Linked DNA regions of Oryzias latipes. The protein of the gene in region 1 interacts with the protein of each later gene in a pairwise test. Links are inferred from orthologs where the notes say so. Each region holds a gene or a part of one and is shown in the gene's direction. Other genes may lie near its edges.

Region 1 (7,267 bases):
CTTCTATTTAATGGACCCGTGCTGTGCTGTGCTTGGCTAGAATGGATAGATTTGCGTGTCAAGAAGCTATTCGTTTTGCTAGCCCCAGTCAGGCAGGTTTGTTGAGAGAAATCTTTAATTTAGGAACATTGGCCAAAAGAAACACTCTTATCCACTTTGACCAGCACCTGCTGTAAGAACGGGAGCGTTCGTGGGGTCTTGTGTGTTTCTGAGCTGACAGTCCGTACTATGGACAATGGTTTACATTTCAAAGTCTGTCTTTCTCTTTCATGTTGTGTCAAGCATGTATAAGGGCCCCTGTTCGATCATTTGCATGGACAAGTCGTCAGCACACTGAAATGAGAAAAAAGAAAATACAATCACTGGAGACTGGACATATATGCAGCGCATCACATATGAAAAATACACAGATGTTACCCCACACGCCATGACTGTAGTCTTTCCGTGCGCCTTTGCGTCATGGAATCTGGAACCTCATGTGCGCCTCTGAACTTGGCCCCCAAATGCATAGATCAAGTAGAAGACGATCTTTATTTATGACACGGCCATCAGCTCACAGAGCAGCCCTCCTGATGCCGCTCAGAACTTTTGGAGCTGTCAGCCCTTCTCATTTGCTGCTCGATGTGGGTGGGTTTTCTACATGTGTGCAGGAACAGCCCGTCTGCTCACGTTTTGTCAATTTCTGCACTGACTGTTGGGATTTAACAATGACCACATGTGTGGATTATTTACAAAACATGGACGTTTCATCAAAACCTCACTCAATTTTATCCAAATTGTTTGCATGGTGTCATTTGCTTACGCTCTCAATTCCAGCTTCTAGACAAAAGCTATGCATTGATTTCAGAGTTGTAGCGAAGGGCATGTTTTATCTCAGTGTGGCGTTCAGCTGTGTCAGAAATGCATTTGACCTCTGAATGCTCACCACAATATTTAGTTTTGTGCTCAACTTCACAACAAATGATCCCCCGTCTCTTTTATGTCAAGGTTTTGGAAAGAGTTTTTTACTATTCAGAAGTTTCAAGGCACAACATTTAAAGCAAAAAATAGTTATAGCTTTAGATATATTTGTCTTTGCCGTTGACTTCAGAGCACAAGTGCAGTCATTTCTTCATGTTTATTTAAAGTAAAACATACTTACAGTTGAAGACTACATTCTTTCTAAGAAAGACAGACTAATGTCAAAGAATATGCATTTGATGAACATAGTTCATCTTATGTGACATGCTTTGTCTTCTTAGCTGACTCAGTTGTCTCCTCATTCTGATTGACGGAGCACGGCTTATCCAGGTAATCAGCAGCAAGAAGGACAGAGAGAGTTGGAAAACAGGCAGGATGGTAGGTCTCGAGGACCAGGATTGGGCAGCCCTGATGTAGACTTGCAGATGTTATTTTTTCAGCAGACTCCTGGCTTCAGACTCCCTGAACAAAGAAATACCGTGCTGGTTAACACTCTGTAGTTTCATCTTGTTTGGTTAAAGACACTATCCTCCTTTACGTAGCATAAACAAACAAAACATCCACACTTGCATTTTTTGGGAAAAATAAACTGCATCCACTGCTTTATGATTCAGTACTTTAAGGAAATAAGATGTGGATTAAAACTGTTTCTTAATCTGCAACTTCTACTTATTCTTGACAACGCAGTGAACATCATCCTTACTAACTGCTGCAACAGTCCTTAAAGTGCACATTCAACCAAGGTTGTAATGAACCTCAATAAAGCAACGCTAAATCTGAACAAAATAAAATCTGTATTAATAAGTATGAAATGTATTAATCTCCTTTAACAGACATTGCTGTAAAAATGCTGAAAGGTTATTTGATTGTGAAAGTATCACTTTGAAATGGCTCCTGAAATCGCTTTGTCAGAAAACCAAAGAAATATGTATAAATTTTAAGAGGAGGTGGTGTTACAGTATCAATTTAAGTTCAAGCAAGTGTCATGCATTTGTGAATCCAAAGATGAAAGATTAACAATAAGTACATGTTTAAATAGTTAAAGCATTCAAATGTACTTTTTGTCTTTGTTTTATAATTCGAGTGAACTGCATAAACCTGTGAATTACTTTGTGAACTTTTATGTTTAGTTTTTGTTGTTAGCTTTTTGTTGTGTTTTAAACTTTCAACTCCTATTAATCTACGGCGGCAGGTGTTCTAATATTGATCCTACTCGGGTGTCGCCGCAACTGTTTATTTTCTCACGTGTCGATCTGTCTGCTCGGCTTTTTCGGTCCTGCCCCCTGCTTTTGCTCAGCGGGATGTGATGAGTGGTCCTACGGTTGGACCAACGAATGGCTGACTCTTACAGAGCTGTATTCATCAGGGCATCTGCAAGAAAAAAAAAGCATCAGGGCGCGTTTTGAGTAACATAAGTTGACAAACGTCTCGGCTCGCATTTTGCTCACAAGTCAACGTAAACAAAGTGGCTAAACTGAAAAGAAGTCGGCTCAGAAAACTATTGAAGGAGTGAATTTGTATATTTACTGGTCTTTTTTGTCTTTATAGATGTGCATTTGTTTGTCAGTTTATAACATGTAGCAAGATAAAAGTTAAAGGCAGTGGGAGTGTGATGTGTTTTCATTTGGCTTCACAATTACATTTTTTTCAGAGTAGGATACACTGGGCTGTTGACCTACTGGGACTCTGCTTTTTGTCAAATCCGTCTTTCTCAGTGCATTTACTAGTCTGTCATCGATCACAACCACTGCTCTGCTGTTCATATTAATCCCTCAGTCTTCGCTTAATTCTATTCGATAGGAAAAGCATGCGCTAAGTGCTGGGAGAGGAAACCAAAAGGAGAAGTGAAAAAAAAGGGAAATACCAGAGATAACTGTATCAGAGGTTGGAAGGGCCAGATAGACAGACGGTCCAGTCCAAACAACCCGGTTTAGCCCATAGGACCTCTGTCTGAACTCCTGCACGGGAGGAAGAAGCACGTGGTGAGGGAAGCAAGGATGGAAAAAAGGAAGCTGTAGGGGAGGTTATACCGAGGTCTTGGCTCGAAAAGTGTCATGGCAGGTACAGTGCTGCCAAAAATTGTACTCAAGTAAAAAAAAAGTGTTATTATAAAATAAAACTACCACTATTGGATCTATTGGTGACACTATTGGAATTCTTCTTTTATCCTGCACTCCTTTAAGCATTGATGGATACTTAAAAGCAAAAATTAAACTTTTTAACTTCATTGATGAATTAACCCAGATTACTATTTTTGAGGTTATTGTTTATTTTGTGTCCTATAAATGTTTTACCCAGCACACATAAAAGCTGGTTCACAAGTAGACAGCAAGTTTGTGTTCTTTCTGACTGTACTCAGCGCTGATTTTGTTTTTTACTTTTAAGACTACAATTTGTTACAAAAGGTTGATAAATTAAGTGTAACTGAGTTGCGTAACCTGTTATAGTGTTCCCTCTCCATATTGCAGTTCATCTTTCACGTTCTCACTGTTTCGTGGATTTTTTCCGCGTAACTTTTCAGTAGCACACTATGTTATACATCCTGAATGGCTGTTTATGTCCATCTATCTTTACTGTGCTGTCTCCTGTACAGAGACGTGGCACATGCACCTCGCCAGAGTAACATAAATCTTTGATCGCGATCAAATCCTTGTTTTTTGTTCTATAATTATTTGTATTGCTTATTTTTCTGTGAATGTTTGAACTTTGAGAGTTTAAAAAAGAGAGAAAAGTCTGAAAATGTTGAACTGTGTGTAGTGAGGAGTTTGACAGCCCTAAAACATGCAATCCTACTTTGCGGATTCCCCCTATCTTGGGTTATTTATAGAATGTACCGTGGCACAGTGGGTAGCACCCTTGCCTCACAACAAGGAGGCCCCCGGTTCAAGTTCTGGCTGGGGGACTTGAAACAGAACATCAATGGGGGACCTTTCTGTGTAGAGTTTGCATTTTCTCCCCGTGTTCTCCGAGGTCTCCGGCTTCCTCCCACCGTTAAAAAACATGCTTCATAGGTCAAGTGGCAACTCTAAATTGTCCATAGGTGTGAATGTTAGACTGAATGGGTGTGTGATATGTGGCCCTGCGACAGACTGGCGACCTGTCCAGGATGTCCCTTGCCTTTACCCACAAGTAGCTGGGATAGGGTCCGGCAGCCCCGTGACCCCGAAAGGGACAAAACGGAAGAAGATGAATGAATGAATGAATATCCTCTGCTATATACATCGGAAAACTGTACTTGATGAAAGCAAGGACAGTGTTCTGGGGCTGAAAAGTCATTGTCTACTTGAAAAAACACCGTTGTTGTACGTCAACTTTGACCGGCTTTAAGATCGACGGTAAAATGAAAATGCTTCCGTCTGCGCAGGTGTTCCGGGTGGCCAGCGTGTGTCTAGGCAGCCCTCCCGACACCATCAGCTGGGAGTATCGAGACAAGGATAAGAACTTCCATCGCATGGGACCTCTAACCCCCCAGGAATTCTACAGGGAACATGTCAAACCCCTATACAACCTTCAGGACAAAGTATGCACACAAAACACTGCTCTACCACACCTCAGTTACCTAACCTGCCACTTGTAATTCTGTTTCTGAGCCCATGTTTTGATCCCATGACCCTCAGGTCTGCCTTGTAAATGACCCTCGACCCCAAAACCCGTACGGGAAGCTGTACACTGTTGAGTTTTTGGGCAACATGGTTGGAGGTCACAACACTCTGTACAACAACCAGCCCATCCAGCTGCTTAAAAAAGCTGCAGCCGATTCTATTAAGGCTGGGGAGGTAGGTGGAAGGGTCCAAATGACTGTCAACCTAATTGAACTTTTTTTTATACTTGACTTTTGTGCTCTCGTTCTTCTCATGCCAGGCCGTGTGGTTTGGCTGTGATGTAGGGAAGCATTTCCATGGCAAACTGGGCATTAACGACATGAATGTGTGAGTAACAATAAGGGAAAACCCTTGTGTGATTTAGGGTGTATTCAGGGTGGACACATTTGGTTATCTTAAAGTGAGCCAGAGTTTGTTTCTCTCAATAATCTGGAGCAAATTTTCCAGATTTGTCCATGGACAAATCTAAAACAACGATTGTCGTGTTATCAAACAGAAGAAAGGGTCTAGCTGTTCACTTGTTAGAAAGTTTATTTTAACACAGCTAAAAACGCTTCTTACATGCGCTTCTGTGTCTCGTTACGTGGCACACACTGCCGTGATATCATCCTAAAAGCTACCTTGTAGCTCCTTAACAGAATTCTCCTAAAATAATACGTAAAACAACGATTAGACACAGCAATTCATTGAAATGTGGTCAGATTACAGCAATTTTTAACGTGATACACATTGCCTTTCATTGTTTTCTAGACAATCTACATGTCATAAACCCTTATCAGTGTAACTTCTTAGCCATTTTCTCCTCAGCACTGCAGCTGCTAACATTAAAGCTCACACGGCACGTCTCCTTGCCAGTGACCTCCTTGCACCACGCCTCCACCGTACCAAAGTAACAAGTAAAAAGCGTTGATCCAGACATTCAAAACTGGTCATCGAAATGTAAAGTTTTAATAAGTTAACTGTCCCGATAAGAATTGTAAAGTGCAGCCCGTTGTTTTGACCCGCCCTCGTAGTTCCTGGCCAATGTCGGAAGAGATCTTTAGTCATGTGGTTTTGTTTACAAGCTTTGGTCCGTGACAGAATGGGTCGCTTGATGCCAGTCTGTATTGACCAAACGCAAGGTTCAGGACTCGATCCGGAACAAATGATTTTTTTTATTCTGAATACACCCTTAGATTAAACAGAAGTTTTGGCCAGATATGCGACACTTTACAGTAGTAAAGTCCTGACAGATTTAACGTAAATAAGCTGCTTCTAAAGCAAAGCAATGTGACTTTGCGCCGATATGCAACCCTTTACATGAGTATGCAACTCTTTTGCATATCGATGTAAAGCCACTTTTTTCTGAGTCTGTTGGAATCACGTTTATTGCGGTAATGGCCAAATTTATACAGTAGTTCAAGGAGCGTGTGTTATTTTGTCAACAGCTCTGCCGAGAAAAGATTAAATTATGTAAATTGCAACTTAGAAAAAAGAAATTTAAAGAGCAAACATGGTTTGAAAATATTTCTTATATATCACTATTATGTGGCTCTTCACTTTTCTTCCTTTCTGACAGCTATAACTTAATAAAAATAGTCAACCTTCATAAGGTGTCAACCCATTTTCACAGAGGAGAACATAGCTGGCATCTGCCTTTCAGGTGTTTGCTTTTTTTTCTTCAATAAATTTCAGGTGTTTGCTGCAGCTCTGTCTGAGTTGCAGGCGCCAGGCTTAAATCTGTTCACTCAACCAGTTCAGCTTAGTGCTGCCATACGTCTGGTATCATGTCTGCTGAGCTCATCCATCAGACAGATCTGTTGCAGCTGTAATTAGGGTTAGTTTCCATCTTTAGACATTAGCTATCTGTCTTTTAGCTCATGATAAGACAAAAACAGAGTGAAAAATGCAAAGTGTTTGGGGTTACGGTCATATCTTCCTGCCCAAAAGCATTCTAGAATAATCACTCTTCATTGGAGGTTTTTCAGTCTTGACATTGATACACTGGTGACATGAGAAATAACTTTAACATCTAATTAACCTTCAGCGGTTGCTTCTGTGCGCAGGTTCAACCACGAACTTGTGTTTGGAGTTTCCGTAAAGAACCTGTCGAAGGCAGAGAGACTCATGTACGGAGACTCCCTCATGACTCACGCCATGATCCTTACTGCCGTAACAGACAAGGTATGCGTACACCAACTATGCCCTCAAGTGTTGCGAAAAGCACAAACTCACCGCAAACACACACATTCAGAGCTTCCCAGAGATTTGCTGTCTGTTTACACCACTCTAATCCACTGAAGTTTTTCATAATTCTGTCCATTTCCTTTCTCGTAAGTAAACGCAGCTGTTCGAACACTTTTTCACTCTAACCTTCCTCTTGTCCACACTCTTTCAGGAGGGGAAGGAAGGCTATGAAAAGTGGAGGGTGGAAAACTCCTGGGGGGACGACCGTGGAAACAAAGGTACAACTTTTACTTTTTTTTTACATAGATAGTGAATTGATTTTTTTCCGTCACTTGTTAGCCGATGATGAACCCAAAAATCCTCGTTTTCACCTAAATGTGTTCTTGGAACCATAAAAGGAGACATTTCGTCAGTCAAATCGTTCAGACTTCATAACCTCTTAGGATGAATTCAGTAAAGAGAAGAATTGTGGGCTTTTTCTTTGGTTGCTGTAGGGAATCTCAAACTTGGTCTATTTTTACAAAGGAACAACACAAATT
Region 2 (7,999 bases), on another chromosome or scaffold:
TCTTTTTAACTATGCTACACAAATGCTTCCATAGATATGGGTTTTTTTAGGCCGTACAGCTGCATTTATGACACAAAAGGCCGTTAAAGGTTTTATGGCAGCAGGACCAACATCTTTCTATTGGTTGCTAATGTATTGTCATTAAAGTGTAAATAGAGATGAGCGTTTACTTTTACTAATACAGTGTACATAATGCTTTTCAATGACGTTCTGATGCATGCAGGTTTAATAGAACTCTTCTTTCCTCTTTCAGCGATTTGCTTCAGAACCCGCTCATCGTTCCTGTGAAAGTCCTAAGAGGTCATGTGATCACGCATGACCTTGGGGTTCTGGATGTAACGTTTCATCCCACACAACCCTGGATTTTCTCCTCGGGAGCTGATGCGACAGTCCGGCTTTTCACCTAGAAAACCTCTCCAATTGTGTCGGATCTACAATAAAGACGGGATTGCTTTTTTTTAGCAGGAAATTCAAAATATTTGTCCATTTTCATAGCTGGAATATTATAGTCTGTTGTTTCTCCACTACAGAAAATGTGTAATTTCTAGCATCATCAATGTGTTTGTTTAATAAATAGTAATATTCTTACTTAGCGGTTTCTGTTTTGATTGATAATTCATTACACTTCAAACAGCAGTTTAATCTGATCAAGTAGTAGTGGTTCATTTCAAGAAATCTAACAGTGTTTGCAGTAATGAGATTACTTGAGAAGTACTCCCCATATTCTTCCAATAATACTGGTAAATTATTACTCATTTTTAATCAAACTATTTGTTATTTAGATGACTTTATTAATACCACAATGGGAAAATTTCATTTATCTGTGGCAGCAAAAACAACATCCAGAAATAATCTATATAATATAACGTCAAAAAAGGACATCAGAAATGACATTCATATTAAATAAATATTTAACATTAAATAAATACAGCTGCAAAAGTGTAAAAAACGTGGTCTGCAAAACATGTAAACTGTAAAAAACATGTAAAAACTTTTTTTCATTTTTTTTTTCAAATACAGACATAAGTAATGAAGTTCACACCAAAAACAAACAACTGGATGGATGATCAACATAAACAACAAAAATAACAAATAAACATACTTTGTCATTGTGGAATGGCATTATGAAAGTTTGGTCAGTGCATCATTCATTCATAAAAATGCATTTACTCAATTACAATTATTGACAGCTAGTAAAAGGTGCATCAGTCGTTTTGAAACAAGTATTTACAATTATAGTGGTAAAATTGCAAAACAAGGGCAATTATAATAAATACACTTAAAAAATACATCTTATAAACATAATACAGTGAGTTTTTAAAAAGACTTAGTGCAGTTTCAGCAGCTGCAATAACATTTTTTATTAATGTTTAAAATATTTATTACAGTAAGATTAGAGCTGTTCTTGAGATGATTTTTATTTGTGCCTGTTATCTTTCAGTATTGTATATTGTACAAAAATCTAACATTTATATAAAGAAATATGCATTTTTCCTGACTTGTGCAGAACAGTTTATAAAAAATTTGTATTTAATTACTCCTTTGCGGATATAAGAAGGTTTTTAAAGCACGTTGGTGAAATCATTGATGGATGATCATTACTGCACTGGAAACTCCTATTCAGACATAATTTTAGCCCACACAACACTCCCATATGGATCTGTCTGTATATTTTATGTAGGAACAAATTAATATTTTACAAAAAGTCTCGTAAAAATTTGATGACTCAGTGCTTCCCTCTCAACAACTTAGCACTTCAATTACAAGACATGACAATGCCTTACCGTTTCAGATGTCCAGAAACGGTTTTAAGTATCACAACACTTCACAAGAGACATGCAAAGTCTGTACCAAGAAAATTTCCTTGCCTTACTGGAGAAGGTTAAGAAAGACCTGAAGAACTGGGAAGTTCTCAACCAGTCTCTTGCAGGGAAAGTAAATAGTATAATAATGAATATACTTCCCAGATTCCTTTACCTGTTTCAGTGCGTCCCCTCTACATCCCTAAATCTTTTTTTAAATCTGTCGACAAAAGCTTTTCTTCATTCATCTGGAGCGGTAAGACCCCAAGACTCTGTTTAAAATTATCACAAAGACCTAAGCATCAAGGTGGCTTAGGCCTACCAAACCTGTGCCAATACTACTGGGCCTCTAATGTTCAAAAAACGATAGATTGGCTCCAAGCTTATGACATCAACTGGTATCGATTTGAAGCCTCCTCCTATAATACAAAAACTCTGACAGCCCTAATTGGATCTAGTCTCCCCTGTGTCATTTCACACTATATTACACACAATCCAGTAGTTACCAATACCTTTAAAATTATGTTTCAATTCAGACAGACGTATGGACTCACTCAAGTGCTTACCACTAGTCCTATACACAAAAATCACCTTTTTCTCCCTGGTCAGACAGACTTCGTATTCATGATTTGGGAAGTGATTAAGGTACAGTATAATCAACTTTAAGGACATGTACCTAAGCGGTATATTTGCAAGCTTCAATGATCTTGCTTCCAAATTTTGTCTGCCTCACTCTCACTTTTTTTAGTACCTTCCAGTGTGTCGCTTCCTTCAGCAGCATGACCCTAACTTCCCTAACATACTGTGTTAGATGAGGTGTTTGAGTTGCCACTCAATTCAAAAAGATTCATTTCCAAAATCAAAGACTGCAAAATTCCTGCTTCCATCTTTGTTGTTTGATTGTCGACTGGTTAATTCAAAACTTCCAAACTTATGTAATACGTTCTTTGTTTGTTGGAGAACTGTTTCCAACATTCTACAAAACTCATTCTATGTCCCAGCATTACACAAAAAAGTTTTTTAAAAACCCAATTTTTCCAAAATACAAAGAAACCCATTTTAAACAATGAATGCAGTATACCCATGCAAGGAACTGCTACATTTACGTTTTGGTTTTCAAGAAAATAACTGTTAATAAATATAAAATCACTTGATCATCTGTTTTTTGAATGTACATATGTTACCAGTTTTTGGGAGTATTGTGTTTGTTGGTGCTCCTCAAAGTTTCCTTTTCCTATTTCTATTCCGTTACAGTTGTGAGTACTTTCTGGTGATAATTTATTTGATTTGGCATTTGATACTTTATTAAATTCTGGGAAATTCTTCATCAATGAGAGCAGATTTTTTTAAAATCAAATCATTATTCAATACATTTCATAAAGAGATCTGTTTACATTTTAAATCCTTGGAATTCAAGAAAAACAGAAATGCAATAAAACTGTCAATTTTCATTGAAGATCACATGTTGTATGACCATACCTAGTGTGAGCTACAATTCTAATGTTATTTATTTATTTTTTCTTTGTATTGTATTCTTTTTTCTTTTTATATCTTTCTATTGTAGTTATGTGAATGTGTACGTGTCATCCTTTGAAGTTCAATAAGAATAAAATAAAATAAAAAGTTGGTGAAATCAACGCTACAGGAATGGGCTTTTAGTTTGAAAGGACGGATGTGACGTACTGTATTTTCGGTGAGGTTCTTTCCGGTTAGCTTACAGACATGAAGGGTCAGTTAAAGAAAGGTGTGGAAGTAATACCAAGCCGGGAAAACTGCGTTTATACCAGCTGTTATTGGTAAAAACCAAGTTTTAACAAATCAGAAAAGCAGCCCACTGTCCTGCAGTCTTTAGTTTTGTGTCAATAAATCATTTATTGTCAAGAAAAACATCAAAATGCTAAGCGGATCCGCTCGGCTAATCGATATTCACAGTTTACATTGTTAAATGTTATACCCATTTTTAAAACTGTTATAGTGAATGAGTTATTTCAATGCCATCTGTCTAATTAATGATTGAATGAATTTTCAGGGAAATATAGTTCATTTTAATCAAGTGAATGAGTGGCTAATGCTGCTTTCCTTTACTTTCTCAGTGAGGAAAATGTTTGGAAGCTCTGTGAGTTTATTCAAGCACAGAAAATGGTTCCACTGGACCAGTTTGCTGTAATTTTCATCTCTAACGACACCAGAACGGTAAGAAGATCTGGAAACATTTTAAACGGCTTAACAAGACAATCGAATAAACAAAATGTTTGCTTTAAAAATAATATTTCAAAAAGTACCTCATACTGAGAATGATGGGCACCGAGCCCTCAAGGGTTCAGGTGGTCTCAAGAAATATTTGAAAGTAAATAACAGGCCTTCTCTGTAAAAAGAAAAATCCTTTTTGCAAAACATCTGGTAGTTTCAAAATACAGCTACAGTGATCCCTCGCTATAACACGGTTTACTTTTCACGGTTTCGCTACTTCACGGATTTGCATCGTGCATTGTGTTCTGCATTCTGATTGGCTAAAAAGTCACTTCACTTCTCTACCTGTGCGTCAATAACATTGCAGTTTAATATGTACACGTACGTAAATCAGCGTGCCAAATTTACAACAGATACGTGCAAATCATCTTGCAATTTCGAGTTTCTCTATAACCCATGAAAAAAAGGAGCGACAACAACAACTGCCTATCACTATGTTCTTCTCCCGAACAAACACAGCTGCACCGCGGGCTTCAAAGGGAGACTGCAGAGCGGAGTCAGGATGCAGCGGCTCAAGAGCAGTGAATTACACCTGAGTCACTATTTGTCTGACCGTACTTTGTATTTTTTTAAAAATCATTTTAAATATCTTCCCGTTTAATCCAAATACTCGGGTCGCGGTGGGCGGGGCTAATCTCCGCGATTTGAAGCCTTCTGTTCACATTGATGATTAAAATTCTTATTTGACAGTACAATACAGAAGATATTTGTTGAAAAACCTTTTCTAAAGTACTTTTATTTGTGAAACAATTCCTTAGCCTGTAAAACGGTTTGTTCTTTCTTTTCAATGTATAATAGAGAATTTAATTGTATAATAATTGTTAAAAAAAAAGGTTTCTACTTCACGGATTTTGCCTATCACGGGTTCTTTTTGGAACGTAACCCCCGCGAAAAACAAGGGTTTACTGTACTCCATTAATTGTGTCCAAATTGGAGGGCTGTGTTCTTCCTGGGCTGCATCTGAAGGCTGCTTACGTAACATGTTGTCCAAATTCAACAAGTCCTTTAAATATGGCCACCGAATACAGCCTTCTTTTTACCCGATTTCAAGGATTGCTCTGGTGTACCCTTCTATGCTGTCCATATCCCAAGATGCATAGCAGTAGAACCCGGATATTTTCTGACAACAATGGCTCCATGCCTGGTTCACTCCTCCTCCCTGTTCGGGACTCACGGTTGCTAGGCAACAGGACATTCACTGATGTAATGGCTGGAATTATCTAAAGGCTAGACTCGTCCAAATTCACAGCCATTAACATCTGACCTACCCGCTCAACAAAGGACCCGAGTAACATCGCCAGGGAAGACTGCGGCCATTGAAGGACGCAGACTTCGAATTTGGGAGCACCCAATATATAACGCTCAAATGTTGTGAAAGCGTCTCACTAAAACGGTCAATCAAACCAAACAAAGAAGTTCATCAAACAAATAGGCAATCCCTAAAACTGGCCACTACACACAGTACATTACAAAAACCAAAGAAATCCCGGACAAGCCCCCAATTTATGTTACACCCCATTTTAGGAAAAAGAAATACTATTTAATAAAAAAACAACCAAATTACTGTATATTTGCAGTATAAAGCACACTTAAAACCCTTAATTTTTTTATTTAAAAAGCAACAGTTTGTCTTAAAATCATGATCACCCTATCTATTAATTAGTTATGCTGCAAACAAGGTTGGGTGTTATTGTGAATACCCTCACGCGGCTAATGTGTGGCGATGTTGGACTGTTTTTTTGGTTACCAAAAAGGTTGTGTGATAGCGTAGTCACGGTAACGTTTGTTTTAGCGCTATCAGTCTGTTTTGTCCACGTGCTGCAAGCAAAGTAACGTGACTGACTGACGGACATTTCTCTGACTCTTTAATCTCACTTAATCTGCCTTGTAGTTCGGTGTGCTCTATATGTGACATATGCTCAAAATAGACCATTCATTGATGTTGTGCTTGATAATCCGGTGAGCCCTGTAGTGTGGAAAATACTGTACAAAGAACAAAGCCTGTATGTATGTTCTGCCCTGGAGATCCTTGCCCAGTCTGGTGCTCTGGACAATTAGGCACAAATGTGCAATCAAAGCTGGCAGAGGAGAAGGAAGACAGAAAACCTCCCACTCCAGCAGAAAATATAAAAGAAAATAGAGAGAGAAAACCCAAATGTACAAAAAAGCCATCACACTGTCATTTATCCATAAATTTTCTAAATCTGCTTAATCTGTTTTGAGGTCGAAGTGGTTGCTGGAGCCTATCCCAACTACTGTTGGGTGAAGGTGTGGGTACAGTTCCTCTGTGTGTCGCAGGGCAGGGCTCTTTTTTTTGGAAAGTAAATCTCTTTCTTCCTTTATCTGAAACTCAAGTTCATTATCTTTTCTCCGTTAGGTTCCTCTTTGGAGACAAAAGTCCGGACATGACGACCGGCCGGTGATCTGGGTGTGTCAGACCCCTCCATCTTTGAAAGTTGCTGTGGGAATCTCCAAATGACCATGAATGGTTTTGTCGTTCTGTGTTGCAGGACTACCACGTGATCCTGCTGAAGGTGGGTGTGAAGTCAGACAGTGTGATCTATGATCTGGACTCGGTGCTGCCGTTTCCCTGCAGCCTGCGGCTCTACGCAGCTCAGGCCCTCCGGTCGGACCGCAACCTCAGACCTGAGTATCACAGGTAATAAACGCAAAGCAGACTACTGGTGACGCACCCATAAAACACCATAGTAACCCGGATTTTATGCCAGGAAGTTGCGAGTGGTTCCTGCGAACAGCTTCTTGTTGAACTTTGCGTCCGATCGATCTCACATGAGGAATTCTGATGGAACCTGGAAGATGCCTCCCCCATCATACCCCCCCATTTTTACGGCTGGTAAAGATAATGTCCCCCTGTATTAGCAGGCCTAATATAGCACGTCTTATGAATGGTTAATGATACCATTAATCTGCGGTGTATTTTCTCCTCAGAGAGTAAGATGAACCTGGACGACTTCATTAGTATGAACCCCGCCGTCGGCTGGGGAACCGTTTACACTCTGGATCACTTTCTGCTGAAGTTTGTAGAAGCTGCCTCTACGTCTGCTTCATCATCAACTACAGCGTTGTAGCAGCTGCTGGTTGTAGCTTCAGGTCTTGAGGTTGGAGAAGGATTTTCCTGCTAAAGACCTGGTGGAGCCAGCTGCAGGTGAAAGTGCCTCCTGACAGGGAAAGACTGTTGAGGACTTCCATTTGTTTGTGAAAATGTGGCCCAGTGAAATCCTTTTCCATCATAAGAAAAGTATAAATGTAAATATTCTGTACAGATTAAGGGGTAAATGCATAGTTTTCTGGTAACTATGGAAGCAGATCTGTTTTTTCTAATTTTGTAAATTTTTATGTAAAAAGTTTACAAAAATAAACTTTTTGAGACAACTGAGCAGCTTGACTTCCACACTCTTAGAAGAATTAAAGACAACAAATGTTTGTAAAAATAATTAATATGAATGAAGTTTAGCCTCAAATACAAAAGGAGTTTATACAAATATACTCCTTGAGTGCAATGATTCATAAACCCCTATTGAAACAGGAAAATCAGTCTAACACAAGAGGCCTTTTAGCTTTTATCTGCTGGATCAGCTGCTGCACAAGACAAGTTTTTAAAACATTGAAATTTCAACAGTTTTATCTCATCTTTACTTCATAAAGTAGATAAAATTATTTAATCTCAATTGTTTCAATTCAGAACAAAAACTAATCAGTGTCAGAGAAGCAAAAAACCTAAATATTTTGTCCAAAATTGATTTATTACTAATCTGAAATGATTGTTTTTTGTGAAAACAATAACATTTAGTATAAAATTGTCAGTCATCTTAGTTTATTGTGTATTAACAACACAATATAATCAGCACAAAGTGTAGATTTAAGGTTCCCACTTGCTTACGGTTAGGGTTACTGAGACCTTAAAAATGATTATTTCGTATTTTAGC
Region 3 (7,765 bases), on another chromosome or scaffold:
CCAGATTTCCTCTGGAATCTCCAAATTCAACTCTTGCTCCCAGGAGTTTTTCAACGGATTTAGTGACGTAGGATCAATGAGATGTAGTTGATGATATATTTGCGAAATCTGACCTTTGGTGGCAAATTGAGGTTGCAGGCAACCAGGAAGTGATTGTGTTGGATAGGTGGTGAAGTGTCTCCCTACGAAGCTGCGGACCTTTAGGTATATGAAAAAAATGAGACTTGGGAATATAAAACTTTTTACAGATGTTTTCAAAGGCATGAATGAACCATCAACAAATAAATCAGTAAAAAGCACAATTCCTTTGGTTTTAAAACCAAAATCATTTAGGGCAGGTGAGAAAAATGGATTGGTGAGTAGATGAGAGTTTGCTTAAACCCAAAGTGGCGACGACATCAGAGGGGAATTTCTAATGAACTCCAGCCGCTCTACAGAAACTGTAGAAAACGAAAACTGTCCTAGAAAACGACACAAGTTCTTTATATCTAGACAAAAAACGGCATCATCAACATAGAAAGAATGCTTGCAGTAGGTCAAGAAAGATTGGGGTGGGACTTTGAAGAGGACAGTTCGCTGAAGGTTTTTTTTTTTTTTTTAAACCACAGTGTGTTGGTATTTAAAGCTTTTCTTTTATGTTATTATTTGGGATAAAACAGCAGAATATTTCAACCCCTTATCCCTTGTGCTTTCCTAGGCACTTTAACGTTGGGTCATCTAGACCCACTAGACAGTGCACTGAACCTTTTTTCTTCAATGATTTGTGATCTTCACTGGTGTCCATGGATTACATTAAATCTTTCCACCTTTATCCACCTTTGTCATGGTAGGGAGAACACGTCAATGTAAGGGGGGGGTCATCTAAGATAGCACAAGGGAAAGAAACTAAAAGCCCAAGCAAAATCAATTATTTTGAGGTTAACAATATTTAAAATAGTGTGGACCTTCTCATACCTTTTCCCTCCTCAGGCCGGATGACGAGCCTGCAGATGAGCGCGCAGGAGGAGATGGTGGAGAAGTTTCTGGATGCTGCCGCCAGAGGCGACCTGAGCCAGCTGTCAGCTCTGCTGTCCCACAGCCCCTCCCTCCTTAACCAGACTGGATACAGCGGCTGGACGGCGCTGATGCTAGCCACACGCAACGGCCACCATCATGTGGCGGAGAAGCTGCTGTCACTCGGGTACACGCCACTTCCTCTGAAAACTCTCCGCTTATACCTTTCTAGAGATGATGGTTTGGTTTAAGTTAACAAGCGTAAAGGTTAAAGGCAGCAAAGGCAGTCTGGCCCGGTTTACATGTGTCTGAATAGAAGCTCTTTCCTTCTGTAAATCTGTCCTTCAAGCTGCAACAAGCTCTGCACAAACAGCTCGTCTCAGACCGCCTACGACATCGCTAAGTTCTGGGGTCACGGACACATCGCCCGGCTCCTGAGCCGCGCGGACGACGGCACCCTGCATGGCAGCACGCTCCACCCGCAGGAGAACTACTTCAGCAGGGAGACGCTGGACCGGCTTAGTGGGAAGAGGAGCGACGCGGGTTGGTTAGAAGCCAAACAGAGAGACCCGGACACAGTCTACCTCCTGTTCTCCAACCTCAGCCCCATGGCAACCGTGACCAAGGACACCAGCGGAGACGGGGTACATACCTCTACCTGTGGCTGAATGCAGTAGGGTAAAGTTATGTTCACACCTAACGGGATTTGCACAGCGGGGCCGGACAGTTTCAATGTTAAGTGAATGTACAGACATGATCCGGCACAATTTCAAGACATTTTTCTGATGATAAAGGACCTAGATAAAGAAAAGTCATCTTAAAATTTCATTTCTTCTTTTTTCTTTGTTTAAATCCTTGTGAATCAGGAGCAGATGAAAAAATTCGAGTTGAAAAAGATCATATTTGTGACGTAAAAACTACAATCGGCCAATCACAAGCTCCCTCCTCCGCTCCATTCTGATGCATTCACAAACAGATCCGTGTACGTCTTTGTCTTCCTCGTCTGAGCTGGAATCCAATGTTGCTCGCCATTTTCTGTGAGGTTGAAGGTGTAAGCTGGCAGGTGAGCATGTAAACAGATGGGTGACGGGAAGTGGGAACGGGGTTGCTCTGCACCGAATTAACCTCTTCCAGTCTGCAGAAACTATGTTTGAAAAGACAACTGGGAAGACTTTGATCAAAAGATGATCAAAGTGGGACTTCTGGTGGCACGATTCACCAGCGGCGAAAGGTTTTAGGCGCCACTGTGTGTCAATCATCCAGGAACTCAGCTTTGACCCGTAACTCGTTGGGAATGTAACCAGCGGGTGAAGTCTAGAACAAACATGGGAGGCGGATCTAATCGTTCTCCTCCTGAACTTTGACATTTTTCTTTATTTTTTGTAGTTTACTTTTCGGCACACCCCTTTAGGGATCGCCACAGCGAATCAGCTTTCACGGATTCACACAGGTGATTTGGCAGAGATGCCCTTCCTGACACAAACCTGTCATCTATCTGGGCTGGGGTCCAGATAAGTTCCCCCTGGGAATCAAACCCTGATTTCTCATGCACCAGTCCTACGCGCTGAGCCGATAATAAGAAGGTCCTCTAGCTGGATGGTGAAGCTCAGCATACTGGAAGAGTCTCTGGATGATCTCATGAACCCAGACGTGGAGATGTATCACACTGCCTTTTTAGAGCTCTTCACAAAAAATGAACCTGATGTCTCATCGTCATCCGTGTCTTTCATGTAGTGATGAGGCTAAAAGCCTTTTGACAGCAGCTCCTCCCACATGCGGCGGGAGCGTAAAGCTTATGATCACAGTTTGGGTAAACATCATGACTATGACGGGCGACAAAACAGAGGCGGCGGCGTTAGGTTGAAGACTTGAATGTCTGATGTCCAGCATGGGAACGGAAAGCCCATCAGTGTCTTGATGATCTTCAAGTCTCTAAAGACATCTTCTCTGACAGGCAGACCTCAAACTGTGCCGGTTCAGGTACAACGCAGTGAAGGACCTTCTCCAGAAACCTGCGACTGTACTCATCTTCCTCGGTGCTGAGAGGACAAAGAACTCTTCCTCCTCCTCCTCTCAGATGGAGCCAGGTACCCCAGATACTCCGGTTTGGTTTGCCATCAACGCCGATGAAGATGCGGCGGAGTTACTGAAACGCTGTGAAGACAACGGCTGCTTCTTCCCAAAGACCCCAAACCGTGACCTCCTGAGACTCGATGAGGAAGAGGCCGGTGAGGAAGACTCCAGTCCTGTCACCTGTTCCGTCCTGCCTAGTTGTCCTTTAACTGAAATTGTGTTCCGGTTCTGTCCCGAGGCGTGGTGGCCCAGGCCCGCTCCGTCCTGGCCTGGCACAGCCGCTACAGCTTCTGCCCCACCTGTGGGAGCCCCACCAGCCTGCAGGAGGGGGGGCACAAGAGGAGCTGCCTGAACCCTGAGTGCAGGAGCCTGAAGGGCGTCCACAATACCTGCTACCCACGAGTCGGTACGAGCACCAATCCTCAGAACCGGGACTCTAACAAGAACCAGTTCATCAAGACTCGTTGCTTCATTCATCATAGCTTCATGTTCAAAGCTTCAGTTTCTGCTTTGATCTTTTCAGACCCGGTTGTCATCATGCTGGTGATCCACCCTGATGGAAACCAGTGCCTGCTGGGTAGGAAGAGCATCTTCCCTGCACGCATGTTCTCCTGCTTGGCCGGATTCGTAGAGCCTGGTACGTGCACACGGGTCCGCCCGCACACGCTACTCACACACGAGCTACAGAACGTGCACTGCTTAGTTTGCACAGTAGGTGGCGCTGCTGTCCTGAACATGGATTTAATGTTTGTGACCCAAAAAATATACAGGAGAGTAGATATGTAGAACCAGGATTGATGAATACATAATATTTATGTGAATAGATAAAAACATCCTAACCTCCCCCCCTCCTCACACAGGGGAGACCATCGAGGAGGCGGTGAGGAGGGAGGTGGAGGAGGAGAGCGGGGTGAAGGTTGGTCCAGTCCAGTATGTGTCCTGCCAGCCCTGGCCGATGCCCTCCAGCCTCATGATTGGCTGCCATGCCATCGCCACGTCCACTGACATCAAAGTGGACGAGGATGAGATTGAGGATGCCCGATGGTTTCCACGACAACAGGTACGTGCGATCTGTGTGAGGCTTCAGAGCTCTGATTTGAAATGAATCCTCCATAAAATGTCCGTTTTTGTTTGCGTGTTCGGGGACTTCACGATCAAACTCCTTTGGTTCCTGTGTTAGTCATTTATGTTGAGACGTATGAGGCCGCTGAAAGTTTGCCTTTCACTTCAGGTGGTGGACTCGATGTTCAGAGGAGCTCACCAGACCTTAGTCATCCCTCCCAGACAGACCATCGCCCATCAGCTGATCAGACACTGGATCGGCATCAACTCCAACCTCTAACATTCAGAAACGCAAAGCTCTGCACGTGCTCCACAAACACAAAAAAAACAAACAAACACAAAGATTCAGACACGTTTTACCTTTTCGTGATAAATATTTCTCCACTTATTTTGAAAGTTGGCAGACAACCATTTGAATAAATGTTCTGAGGCGAATAAAATGTGTTGGAAAAACGCATGTCCAACAAAACCATGTGAGTCTGTTGATCCATTTTCAAAGTGTTGTAACAACCAGCATGAAAATAGAGTATTTACAAAAAATTAATCAGGGTTCTCCTTTCTTTTCTAACTGGATGCGTTTGTTTGTTTCTTTTTCTCGAGTCATACAAAACAACTCCAACACAACACGATGATGTTTCCCAGTTACGTTGTTATTTTTAAAAAAAATATACATATATACAAAAAATCCATCCTTAGTTGAAACCACCACCCAAATAAACCCAGTCTTTGAATTATTTACACAATACTTTAAAGTTTCTCTGGCTCTTTTGTCTCAAAGATGGTGGGGCTTGTGACGCTGCGTCCGCGTTCCGATGGAAAACGGCTTCTTACCGGATCAGCTGTGTCGGAAATCGTGTGACTTTCTGATAAAGGAGGACCTTTGGAATGGTGACAGACAGTTCCGGGTTTTTCCTCAGCTTTTGTTTAGAACCATCCTTTGCTAATCCATCCATCAAGCGGCAGTCAAACGTCAAACCCATCCAGTTTTTTTCTCCTTCTTCCTCCTCTTGACTTCCATTCCCTCCTCCTGCTGTAATTAGCTGTAATAAGCCACACCTGAGAGACAGGAAGTCATCCGCAGGAAGTCTCTTGGCCATATTTGTAGTTCCATAAAACACTCATTTACAACATAAACAGTCAAAACATGAATACATAAAAATCAAACCATAGTGTGCTCACATGATAAAGAAAATGAAATACTGGACCATTAATACTGTTGGCTTTGGAATGGAATGCAGTTACTGTCTATTATCCCAACAGAAAATTATCATTTTATGTGGCACCCTTGTGCTATCCTAGGCACTTTAACATTGGGAGTTGGGTCATCTAGACCCACTAGACAGTGCTCTGAACCTTTTTTCTTCAATGATTTGTGATCTTCACTGGTGTCTATGGATTACATGAAATCTTTCCACCTTTATCCACCTTTGTCATGGTAGGAAGAACACGTCAATGGAAGGGTGGGGTCATCTAAGATAGCACAAGGGATACAACAAAGCATCTCTGAGTGTGGGACAGAAGAGTGCACATGTTGTACAGAAGATCCTTTTACAGTTCTTTTATTTTCTTTTTTTATGCTTGTTTTTTGTGTGTGCCAATGTCTCTTGGCCAGGTCCCTTAAAAAAAAAGAGATTTCATCTTAAGGGACATCCTGCTAAAATAAAAGTGACCTGTAATAACAATAATGACGTTTTTAGCCAAAAAAACAACAACCTGTGTCTTTTTTTAGGACAGCAGTAGTTCAGGAGTCATTTGCCTCTGAGTTGTTAGCGGGACTATCAGCAGGGAGTAAGCCTGCCCACACTTTCCGTCATCCATCTGTTTACACGCTCTCGCGCTAGCTTATAGCCTCTGAAACCAAGTTTAGATGGAGATTCCAGGTCAGACGAGGAAAACAAAGACGTACACGGATCTATTTGTCTGACAGTGAATGCATCAGAATGGAGCGGAGCACGGAGCTTGTGACCCATCCATCCAAATAAGCTCTTTTTCAACCAACACTTTTATGTCTCAACAATCTGAATAAAGAAATACTCAAAAAATCCATTTTTAGGCTTAAGTTTCTTTATGTTTGTCCTTCATCAGAAAAAAGCAGAACATGTCAAAAACATCCTTTTCCTCGGAGTGGGTCTTTAAATGCTGTAACTTGTAAATGTCTCGCCAAATCCCTACTCCTGTCTCTGGATCTCTGCTCGCATTTACTCTCAGACATTAGAGTTCACTTTTAACCCTTGTGCTATCCTAGGCACTTTAACATTGGGAGTTGGGTCATCTAGACCCACTAGACAGAGCTCTGAACCTTTTTTCTTCAATGATTTGTGATCTTCACTGGTGTCCATGGATTACATGAAATCTTTCCACCTTTATCCACCTTTGTCATGGTAGGGAGAACACGTCAATGTAAGGGGGGGGTCATCTAAGATAGCACGGGTTAAACTCATGTGAATGTTTTCCTCGTAAATCTCTTCTCATTGTGCTTGAAAAATGTTAACCTAGGTAAAACACAGTGTAGCCTGTACAACTCTAAATGGGATTTGATTCCATGGAAACAGAATGCAATGAAATGCCAGTCGCCTGCTGTACAACAGTGGGAGTCATATCCAAAATGACCTCTAACCTCTTCACATTCTCAAAAGACCAGCTGCCTTGCATCAAACGTGTTTTATGAAACCAGAAAACATGTTTATTCATAAAAATAAAAATGTTCCATCTTCTTTGGAAAAATGTTAGCATCCTGGTATTTTCCTGCAGGTTCCACAGAAGTGGGTACATTATCTGATCAAATTAAGCATAGCTGTAATTTCTAAAATAATATGATAGCCTTTTTATGCTAAATAATCCATTTTTGCTGCACATTGCTATCAGAAAAATGTAGATAAAACTACCATCATGACGGTAACATCTAGAAGCTGCTTCACATGTGTTTTCAGTTCATCTTCCTGACTTGTTCTGGAAAGCAGCATCACAGGGTGTATTTGGGGGAGGAGGGGTCTCCACTGGCTCCCCTGAGCAGTCGCTCTGGTCGCTCTAATCTTCCGTTTCCACCTGGAAGCAGCTGTTGGACAGATACTCCGTCTCACACATGAGAGGAGAGCAGCTCTGTCCTCCCAGAGTCTCCGTCATCAGGCCACCGCAGAATCCATCAAGCAGGAGTTCACGAAACGGACAACCCTCTTCGTCTTCCTGAGACCGACAGAGGTCATATTCACGCTGATGGAGATGCTCGGCAGTCTCATCTGTGATCTGCGCAGCAAACAGTGAGAGCGCCGGCAGCTGGTCATGGCGGCTGCTGACCGCCGCTGGAGAGAAGTCTTCATCCAGGGCTTCTTCAGAGGGTCGATGTACGCTCAGGTCAACAGAAAACAGCGTCTTCTCTGCAAGAGCTTCCGTCACCTGGAAGTCTGCAGTGTCCAGGATGCTCCCAGTGAACATCTGTTGGACGAAAACAGAACGGAACCATCTAACTGCTAATGGACTTTGATTTTTGTAACCCTTGTGCTATCCTAGGCACTTTAACATTGGGAGTTGGGTCATCTAGACCCACTAGACAGTGCACTGAACCTTTTTTCTTCAATGATTTGTGATCTTCACTGGTGTCCATGGGTTACATGAAATCTTTCCACCTTTATCCACCTTT

The links.
Region 2: the proteins of blmh (region 1) and wdyhv1 interact in binary tests that used the Homo sapiens proteins (3 or more experiments, as listed by UniProt). The two-hybrid records come from large-scale screens. The link is inferred for Oryzias latipes from reciprocal best matches to the Homo sapiens genes BLMH and NTAQ1.
Region 3: the proteins of blmh (region 1) and nudt12 interact in binary tests that used the Homo sapiens proteins (3 or more experiments, as listed by UniProt). The two-hybrid records come from large-scale screens. The link is inferred for Oryzias latipes from reciprocal best matches to the Homo sapiens genes BLMH and NUDT12.

What each region holds. Positions count from the first base shown.
Region 1 is NC_019871.2:27,593,321-27,600,587, reverse strand, and holds part of blmh (bleomycin hydrolase), read left to right. Parts: intron 1-4,324; coding exon 4,325-4,480; intron 4,481-4,577; coding exon 4,578-4,736; intron 4,737-4,821; coding exon 4,822-4,889; intron 4,890-6,607; coding exon 6,608-6,725; intron 6,726-6,939; coding exon 6,940-7,006; intron 7,007-7,267. UniProt on the Homo sapiens protein: The normal physiological role of BLM hydrolase is unknown, but it catalyzes the inactivation of the antitumor drug BLM (a glycopeptide) by hydrolyzing the carboxamide bond of its B-aminoalaninamide moiety thus protecting normal and malignant cells from BLM toxicity.
Region 2 is NC_019869.2:4,810,392-4,818,390, reverse strand, and holds wdyhv1 (protein N-terminal glutamine amidohydrolase), read left to right. Parts: upstream 1-3,477; 5' UTR 3,478-3,524; coding exon 3,525-3,598; intron 3,599-3,895; coding exon 3,896-3,995; intron 3,996-6,429; coding exon 6,430-6,480; intron 6,481-6,562; coding exon 6,563-6,711; intron 6,712-6,781; coding exon 6,782-6,906; intron 6,907-7,001; coding exon 7,002-7,141; 3' UTR 7,142-7,449; downstream 7,450-7,999. Other genes in the region: ribosome biogenesis protein BOP1, read left to right, coding at 254-407. UniProt on the Homo sapiens protein: Mediates the side-chain deamidation of N-terminal glutamine residues to glutamate, an important step in N-end rule pathway of protein degradation.
Region 3 is NC_019867.2:29,176,570-29,184,334, reverse strand, and holds the end of nudt12 (peroxisomal NADH pyrophosphatase NUDT12), read left to right. Parts: intron 1-969; 5' UTR 970-974; coding exon 975-1,180; intron 1,181-1,342; coding exon 1,343-1,637; intron 1,638-2,947; coding exon 2,948-3,221; intron 3,222-3,304; coding exon 3,305-3,472; intron 3,473-3,589; coding exon 3,590-3,703; intron 3,704-3,926; coding exon 3,927-4,126; intron 4,127-4,297; coding exon 4,298-4,408; 3' UTR 4,409-4,672; downstream 4,673-7,765. Other genes in the region: interleukin-12 receptor subunit beta-2, read right to left, coding at 7,156-7,560. UniProt on the Homo sapiens protein: mRNA decapping enzyme that specifically removes the nicotinamide adenine dinucleotide (NAD) cap from a subset of mRNAs by hydrolyzing the diphosphate linkage to produce nicotinamide mononucleotide (NMN) and 5' monophosphate mRNA.